Linked DNA regions of Cricetulus griseus. The protein of the gene in region 1 purifies or fractionates together with the protein of each later gene. This does not show direct contact. Links are inferred from orthologs where the notes say so. Each region holds a gene or a part of one and is shown in the gene's direction. Other genes may lie near its edges. The genes, in order: Josd2 and Ahcyl1.

Region 1 (4,500 bases):
GCCAGGGTAAGGAGTGACATCCCTCCAAACCCTGAGACCTGATTCTTCTCTAAGGGCCTACTCCATGTCTCCCTCTCCCAGGCATCCTGACCTTGTGGTAGAAGTGGCCCATCCAAATATAATCCATGAATCAGGGGTACAAATCCTGCGACATGCTAACCTCCTGGTGAGCCCCCTAATCCCTCAGCAAGCCCTTCTCTGTGTTGGCTGCATCCCACCACACAGCAATGATCTATGTCTTGGCCTTCCCTCTCTCTACCATACTTCCCAAGGTGGGGTCTCCCTCAGCTCTGGCTGACCAGACCACAGAGCAGCAGCTCATGGAGGCATCAAACTGCTGGGGCCACACTGTGTTTGTGGCCCGAGGAGCCCTGTGGGGGACTGAAGACATCAGGAGATTGGATGCATCGGGAGGCCTCCAGGTGAGAACCATATGGGCTGCAACTGAGGGAACATGTAAGAGTCTCAGCTTCCTGACCCTGCCATTGTTTCCAGAGCCTTCGAGTCACCATGGCCACACATCCTGATGGCTTCCGACTGGAGGGGTCCCTGGCTGCAGCACACATCAGTGGGCCGCGCACAGTGCTCTACGAGGGCCCTGTGCGTGGGCTCTGCCCCTTGGCCCCCCGAAATTCTAACACCATGGCAGCTGCTGCCCTGGCTGCCCCCAGTCTAGGCTTCGACCGTGTCATTGGGGTGCTTGTGGCTGACCTTAGGTGAGCAACGGAAGTAAGTGGCCCACCTGTGTACAGGCCAGATGTACTAACTACCCTTCTCCGCTGGCTGCAGCCTCAAAGACATGCACGTGGTGGACGTGGAGCTGAAAGGCCCCCCAGGGCCCACAGGCCACAGCTTTGCTGTGCACACCCACAGAGAGAACCCAGCCCAGCCTGGCGCTGTCACCGGCTCTGCTACTGTCACAGCCTTCTGGGGCAGCCTACTGGGTGCGTCCAGACCTCTCCAAGAGTCCCTTGACTTTTGTGCCCTGCAGAACTCACATGTCGGATGTCCCACCCCGGTTGTCTGTCTTTGCCCATCCTTAGTTTTCTCTCCCAGGTCTCTCTTTTTCTCTGAGTCTCAGCCCCCCTCTTGTCTCTGCATCCACACCCCACATCTCTTTCTGAGTATCCTCTTTGGGTTGTACTACACTATCATTTTCAAAGCCCACGGCCGCCATGGCTGCTTGCATGTCTGTGTGGTCATTCTAGTCTTTCATTCTCCCCACAGGCTGCTGCCAGCTCCCCTCCAGACCTGGGATTCACCTCTGCTGACAAGTCTCCCCCGCTGCCCTTGCTGTCACCTCGACCACTGTGTGTCTCAGTAAACATCAGAGTTCTGTCGGCTGTTCTCTTTGGCCTCTTTAGTTCCTTATCCCCTAACTCTATTACATCACGCTTCAACACACTGTGTGTGACGCCATAGCAGCGAGCGCACGAGCATACGCACAAACCATTTTCCTGGAAGCTATCGCGAGAGCCCCAGTTACTACATTTCCCAGAAACCTCTAGACTGCAGTGAGCCCTGGGGGTGCATGAAAACTGGCTGTGTGGTCCGACGGGAGTTGTAGTTCCGCGCTGCAGAGCGTCCCCGGCGGACTTCCGTACCGCGCGTCCTATTTAGGCGCCTCGGAGGCCTTCGGGAATTGCAGTCAGGAGTGCTCGGGCGGTCGGGAGCTGTAGTCCGTCCTGCCTGCCCAGTCAGCGTGGTACCACTCGGCCGCTACCCAGGGAATGAGAAAGCGGCCGGTCCCAGCGAGCAGAGAGGCCGACGGGGTGAGGGCCAAGCGAGTGCCGTGCGGAGGCGGGTGGGAGCGTGCCTGGTTGCCAGGTGACAGGAAGAGGGGAGCTCCTGTTGCTTAGTGACTGGGAGAGGGCCTTGTTGCCAGGTGACGGGAGGAGAGAACCCTGGTTATTGATGAGGGGAAGTCTTTCGTTGCTAGGCGACCAGAAGAGACCCTGTTACCCAGAGACGGGGAAGGAGGAGTCCTCCATTGCTAGGTGATCAGAAATCGGACCGGTTACCAAGCGGGTGGGGAGTACTCTGTTGCTTGGGAACCAAAAAGGTATTGTTTCCTAGGGACAGAAGGGGCGATACTTCGTTACTAGGTTATAGTGATCCGGACTTTTTTTTGCTTAGAGACATGAAGTGGGGGTGGATCTCTATTGCCAAGTGAGCAAAAAAGAGCCCTTTCCCCCTAGGACTAGGGCATAAAGATGCCTCTACGCTTCGGAGACAGCCTAGGTAGCTGGGTCGTTTCCTCCCAAGCTGGCTCCAGTGCCCATCTCAGTGGCTGTTGCCCAGGGACACAGGAGTCTGGAGACCCAGATGGCCGAGATCCTGGGTCCCTAACACTTTCTCCTTGTACCACCCCCAGCAGGAGCCGAGGAGGGCATGTCTCAGGCCCCGGAAGCGCGGCCGAGCCCACCCTCAGTGTACCACGAGCGGCAGCGGCTAGAGCTGTGCGCGGTCCACGCTCTCAACAACGTCCTCCAACAACAGCTCTTTAGCCAGGAAGCTGCAGATGAAATTTGCAAGAGGTGACTGCCCTAGGTCCTGGCCCTGGAAGAGCAGGGCTGAGGGGCATGGGAGCCTGCCTGGGCACTAACAAGGCCGGGGCGCAGATCCTGGAGCTGATGTCTGCCCTTCCACCTGCTGCTTCTCACAGCCTCAACCCAGCTTTGGCCTCAACCTCTCTTATCTGAGCCTTTGTCACAGCCTCCCAGCTGTCTGTGTTTCTCCTCCTGACCATCCTACACACAGCCCCACAGCTGCCTTCCCCCTCCTCTGCATTTATTCCTCTGGGGGTCCCTGGCACTCCTAGAGAATAGCCCAGGTCCTTCAGCCTGAACTCCAAGGCTTTGGGTGCTCTGGTCCTTGCCTACCAGTCTGCAGCTTCTCCTTCACTACTCTCCTTGGCCCCAGATGACCCCACTGTGGTGATTCTGAGCTCTTACCCAGGCATTCTTGTTCTTCTTGGTCACGTAGGTGCCCTTCAGAATTTCAACCATCACTTTCTTAAACTCTCTTCCTAGTCCCACTTCTAGGCCCCACAATCCTTTCACAGATACGCCAACACCCCAGCCTGCAGTTCATGTCCACATCCAGAGGCAGCCTTCACATCTTCTCACTGCTGCTCAGCCAGCACCCTCAGACTGTAGATTTATGTTAGGAGATATCCATCCCCCTGCCACCAGCTCTGTCATGCCAGGAGCATGCTGAACAACTAGAGCTAAGGCAGATGTAGTGAGGAGAAGGCTCGGGACACAGAGCAAACACAAGTGGTTCCCTCCATGTCACTGCTCTCCAAGGGGCCAGCTCTTCAGAGGAACAGGGTCACATCTGGAGAGAGCTTAGAGGGAAGGCTTGGGCACAGGGACAGCTGGAGATAGGTGGCTGGTAAGAGCTGGTGCTGAGGCTATGCAAGAACCACTTGCCACTGGAGGAGGTGAGAGTCTGTCCCCGGGATTTGGGGCACCAGGGAGGGCTGTGAACAGAGTAGGGCAGGGTATTGCCAAATGAAAGAGGCATTCTGTATTCAAATATGGTGACATGAGCGGCATTGTCACTCAGGGGAGCTCTGTGCCCATTCTGGGGGTTTGATGGCTTCTCTACCAGAAGAAATGACATCTGAGGCTGGTCTGGAAAGAGGCCATGATGAGAAGGGCAGATGGAAGGGCAGAGACTTTGTCCAGAGCACTTGGGAGTCATGGGAGAGGTGGGAGTAGGAGAGAGGCAGGCAGCTCAAGGCTTTTGGAGGTGGATCGGATGGAGAGACTAGAGACTGGGAAGGGTTTCTGAGTGGAAAAAGACAAAAACTTTAGCTAGGCAGAGAGTACAGGTGTTGGGAATGGGAGGAAAAACAGGGCTTAGAGCCCAATGAGCTGTGTGGGGCTTAAAGAGAAAGAGCCAAAAGCCAGGCTCTGGGCCTCTCCTGCTGTGTGAGAAGTTGAAGGCCTTTCCAGGATTCCCAACCTTGGCTCTGCCCCCTTCACCCCCAGGCTGGCCCCAGACTCCCGGCTGAACCCTCATCGCAGCCTCCTGGGCACCGGCAATTATGATGTCAACGTGATCATGGCTGCCCTGCAAGGCCTGGGCCTGGCCGCTGTGTGGTGGGACAGGAGGAGGTAGGGCCTAGGCTGTGGGCTACACTGGCCCTGGGTTTGTGGGATGAAGCAGAGGGTGACTTGAAGGTAGATGGGGGAGGTTTTTGCCAGAGAGCCTCTGGCTAATGGGGACTGACTGACTGACTGACTGACTGACTGACTGACTGACTGATGAGCTAAACTGATAAACTTGGTACCAGTGAAAGGTATTCTGTGGGGGGTCCAAGTGACATGAGTGACTCATGACTGAGGAAATGGGGTTAAGAGTAGTGAGACCAGCCTGTTGACCTGAGGCAAAACTGAATTGGAAGCTGGCCTGGGTTGCATATAGAGACCCTGACTCAAAAAGGCAAATAACAAAACGTTGAGGGGCTGGGGCTCCATTGGCAGAACGCTT
Region 2 (4,531 bases), on another chromosome or scaffold:
TGAGGTGCTAGATATGAAAGAGTAGTGGAGAAGAATTTAGGAGAAAGGTCCCTGGGAAGACTTACTCTGAACACAGTAGAGAAGAATCTGGCTTCTCTGAATCCACGGAAGAGAGAAGGGTGAAGGAAAGGGATGAAAAGGGAGCAGGCGGCAGCTGGATGTGTAGGATGCTAGAGTTTTGTGGGATTTTGTGGCCATTGAGAAATCCCAAGGTGATGAGATGGCTGGAATAACTTTTCGGAACATTTCAGAAATGTGATTGAAGACTGTTTGCTATGTGATGTAACCTCTCCCCTGTGACCCACAAACCTTCATTAAAAGTTTTGCTACATATTATAGCTTCATTTTTGTGGTTTAGGGGTGGGAGTTGGAAAGAGAACAGGCTGATGTGACACCAAGAGCTAAAGAAACAGTCATAAGACTGGAATAGTGAATAAAATTTCAGACTAGGCAGCAAACTAGAGCCAAGGGTGACCATCAAAACCTAAGTCCCCTCAGTAATTCACAGAAATCCTGGGGACAACATTGTACTTTCCACAGGACATAGGAACTGGAGCCAATGTCATTTGAATGATGTTCAAAGGACAAACTACCTCAGCTGACACAAACAAGCTTTCCCTCTCCAAATGGACGAATTCTTGGAAACCATAAATGTGCCACAGGCACCTCTGCCATCCAGGGCCTTACACAGGGACCGTACACAGTAGAAACTGTGAGAGTGCTACTGAACGCACTCATGGCATGCTCACTCCGAGTAGAGCTGGCAGGCAGAGACTAATGTCCAGAGAGAGCATGCAGCAGGAGGGTCAATTTGGCCCGACCTTTTCTCAATCTGCCTTTAGTTCTCTACCTTCTGATCCATCAACCCTATCTTAATGACCTCTTGACATCAGCACGGCAGCCTGAAGGTCTTGTAAACAGACAAGGCCCAGGAGGAGATAGTGATGGAGGTCATAAAGGGTTGGGTAGAAACCAGACTGCTCTCAGCTTGTTCTGCCCCCTATGAAGTCAAAAAGCAAACACTGTCCCTTGGAAATGGGCTTCTGGTCCAAAGGGTCCAGCCATGGTGTGGGCCGAGTGAGAAGGCTGTTCCAGAAAAGGCCCTAAGATGTGTCCTGTGGGACTCTGACCTATGGCCCCAAGCATCGCTCTTTATACGCCCTCCCCTCCGTCCCCCACCCCACTCCTGTCCCGGGCCACCTCCCTACCCCAAGGTCTCCTGGGGAATTCATTTGGTAGTCCAAGGCCGCTCAGTCCTGAGGCATCCTTATAGGAACCACACCGGGCTCAACAGGGCTGATGGCACCACCTGGCGGCGTACATGGTACAAGTCGCCCTGGAAAGCTCATCACCCAGGAGCAAGAAAGGAGGCAGGACTGTTCTTGTGGCCCGGCCCAGCGTGGTAACATCAGCAGACTGCGCCAATTCTCCCCGCCTCTTTCCCCACCCTCCTTGGGCCTGCCAGTACTTGACGTGGCGTCTCCGCCCTCTACCCTTACTTTGCGTGCGTGCTTGCGTGCGGCGGAGGTTGCTGCGCGGGCAAGTCGGAGCTGCGCGCTGCTGCTTCTGGTTCTTCTGTGGCCGCCGTCGCTGTCCGGCAGTCTTGTACGGCGGTGCCGACGAGGCGCGCGGGTCACAGCCCTTCGGAAGCACCAGCAGCTCGGCGCGGGGCCTGGCGGGAAGGCGGGCGAGCGCGTGGCCGAGGGCGCCGCGCGGACGGGCGGGCGCCCGTGAGGGAAAGAGGCGGGGGCGGCGGGTTAGCCGCGGGCCGGGCCGGCCGGGGGATGTCGATGCCTGACGCGATGCCGCTGCCCGGTGTCGGGGAGGAGCTGAAACAGGCCAAGGAGATCGAGGACGCTGAGAAGTACTCCTTCATGGCCACAGTCACCAAGGCTCCCAAGAAGGTGCGGGGCTCTGGGTGGCGGCGGGGGCCCTCGCGGAAGGGGCGCGAGCAAGCCCCGGGCCCGGGCTCGGGTAGTTCGGGACTTCGGGCTAAGGTTTAGGGTGCTCGGGGACCACTGACACGATGTAGGGGGTGGCCGGTGAGCGGCCATGGGCCTATCTGAGGCCGAAGAGGCCGCTCTGACCTCGCTTTTCTTTGTCCCTCGGCCGGAGTCCTCCTGGATCTTTCTGAAGCCCGGCAGGGCCAGGCCTTATATTTGCGGCTGACTTTTTCCTGGATGGAGAGCCTTGAGAAAAAGACTGGGAGGGGGTGAACGACTCAGCTGACCCCTGTGACCTCTCCAGGGGATGAGGGTATACAGGAAATTTCCCCTTAAGTAAGTGGGGAAATCGGGCAGCGCTTTTTCAAGGCATCTCTTGGGGAGCGTTGGCCGTTTAACCAACAACTGCGTGATAGCTTAGAGGCAAGAGGAAAAACTGTATGAACTGGTTGAAGGCTCTAAAAGCAACAAGAAATTGAAAGTCAAAATGATTTTCGCCTTCCAGGCTTCCAGTTGCTTGGAAGTGTGAGAGAAAGGGAAATTGAGGGGTTGGTGACAGTAGACACTGTCATGGATGCAGGCTGATCCCAGTCATGTGAATAGATCATTTAGACATCCCTCCAGAAAGAAGCTTGGGTGGGTTGGAGAGGTGGGTGGTAAGAAATGATTGCTCATTCTTTACTGCACTTACTGAAGCAGAACAAGTTCAGCCTATTGTGCTGTGGGTTGCAGCCCAAAGGACATCCTTCTACAGCTCTTGGGAAAGAGAATCTATGGAGGGCTGAGTCTAACTAGCCCTCTCAGTTGGTGGGATTGAGATCCCCTGTGCTTTCTGTCAAACATTCCTTGACTTTCCACTTATCTGGCACCCAGTTAACAGTAGACCAAAGAACCTTTGCAAAGAGGTGACCTTCCTAAAGCCAATGAAAAACATGACAGATATTTCCCTCTTGTATAAAGTCATTTCAAAGCTAACCGTGCCTACAGTATTTGCTGGGATTCAGGTCTGGTATAAATTCAAAACAGCAAGGTTTGCAGGGGTAGTTAACCCCCCCCCCAGGTTCCCGCACCTGAACTAGTTAAGCTGTTCTAAGCACCTGAGAGGGCATCCCAACACCCCCTCTTCCAGGAAATTAATAAAAACAGGTCTAGAAAAGAGAAGTCATCACTGTGTGCTTCAGCTCTGTTTTCTCACAAAATTAAAAGATTTCTACCAATAGTGCCTTTAAAAGGTTATGGAAGGTTCCTTGATCCTAAGGGAGCCAGTTGACCTCATTTTTAGTGCTCTGGTTCCTCTGATTGCTTTGCTGAAGAAGTGACCTTTTGCAATCTACACTATTTGGATACACAGAGTTCTTACAAGCAAAATGCTTAAGCATAGTACCTCAGATGAGTTAAGGGAAAGAATAGGAAAATCTGATAGCCTAATCCCTCTGACTCTTATCTCTTACCATAAACCCACCTCCTTTCATCTAAATACTTGAGAGTATTTTTATTGTTCCTTTCCATTATTTCAGTGTAACTATATTCTTGCAAGCCAATACTGATAAGCCAAAATCTGTATACATTGTAAACTGTATACTTTATACATTGTAAACTCCTAGAGGCAAGGATTCTTGTTTACCATTTTATCTCTGGAACCTAACTCTGTACCTTGCATATAGTACTCAATTGTTAATTGTCAATCTGGCTAACCAGTAACTGAAATGCCAAATGCCAACAAGCAGTAAATATCCCCTTTCCTTTCTTCTTCCTGAGAGGAATAACACAAATGAGTATTATTGCGAAGCCAAGTGCTAATGACTTTAGAGACTCCCATTAGCTAAAATAAGCAAGTCTGCCAGGAGTGTGGGAAGACCCTGTTGTAAGTTTCCATTTGCTAGTATGTATGTCTCCTTGTTATTAATCTTGTTCTTTGAACTTTATTGTGTGGCATTTACGTTGTATTAAAATGCATTATGATGACTAATTGCCCTTCCCTTAATGATGATAAAAGGTATTTATTTAGTTAATGGACCAGTCAAGGTCATGTAGTAAATTCTAGGTAATCTGGTTTTGTTTTGTTTTGTTTTGTTTTTATTCCCCCTCAGAATTTGAGTTGGACTTATGACTTAGGTCACTTGTGTACCTCTTCCATGTGGTGATAATGTGACAAACTATGGGAAAGGTTAGGGTGGAAAAGAACTTGGCATGGTACTGAATAGTGTGAGAAAAAGGCCTATTTCAAATGGTGTAGTCCTTCACCCATGAGGATTCCAGCTTGACTCAACCAAGTAACTCTTGGATCATTCCCATTTCTGAGGCCCTTCTGGAATTGAGGACATTCCTAGGGCCAAAGAATATAGGTGACTTCAGTGCTTCTCAATAAGATCAGATCCTAGTGTACTTATCTTGACAGCTTTTATTTATTGTTTGATTCGTTTGAGGTACAACATGTGTAAAAACATATGTATCTTATTATTCAACTATAATGATACCCAATTTTGTACCCTTGAGTATCTATCCCAGCACTGTGGATATTACAGGGCTTGTTGGTTTAAGACTTGAAAGTTGTAGGTCAAGAAGCCAACTGCTATTAATTAGTATTC

What was found.
Region 2: the proteins of Josd2 (region 1) and Ahcyl1 purify together in Homo sapiens (affinity purification with mass spectrometry; 4 studies listed by BioGRID and IntAct, counting the BioPlex papers as one, with this or other methods). This does not show direct contact. The link is inferred for Cricetulus griseus from reciprocal best matches to the Homo sapiens genes JOSD2 and AHCYL1.

Annotation. Positions count from the first base shown.
Region 1 is NC_048599.1:153,334,602-153,339,101, forward strand, and holds the start of Josd2 (josephin-2), read left to right. Parts: upstream 1-1,679; 5' UTR 1,680-1,730; coding exon 1,731-1,772; intron 1,773-1,885; exon of another isoform or gene 1,886-1,939; coding exon 1,940-1,997; intron 1,998-2,374; coding exon 2,375-2,537; intron 2,538-3,998; coding exon 3,999-4,124; intron 4,125-4,500. Other genes in the region: Aspdh (putative L-aspartate dehydrogenase), read left to right, coding at 82-166, 273-422, 496-716, 790-1,000, 1,228-1,310, 1,568-1,679. UniProt on the Homo sapiens protein: Cleaves 'Lys-63'-linked poly-ubiquitin chains, and with lesser efficiency 'Lys-48'-linked poly-ubiquitin chains (in vitro). May act as a deubiquitinating enzyme.
Region 2 is NW_023276806.1:49,463,696-49,468,226, forward strand, and holds the start of Ahcyl1 (S-adenosylhomocysteine hydrolase-like protein 1), read left to right. Parts: upstream 1-1,523; 5' UTR 1,524-1,784; coding exon 1,785-1,904; intron 1,905-4,531. UniProt on the Homo sapiens protein: Multifaceted cellular regulator which coordinates several essential cellular functions including regulation of epithelial HCO3(-) and fluid secretion, mRNA processing and DNA replication.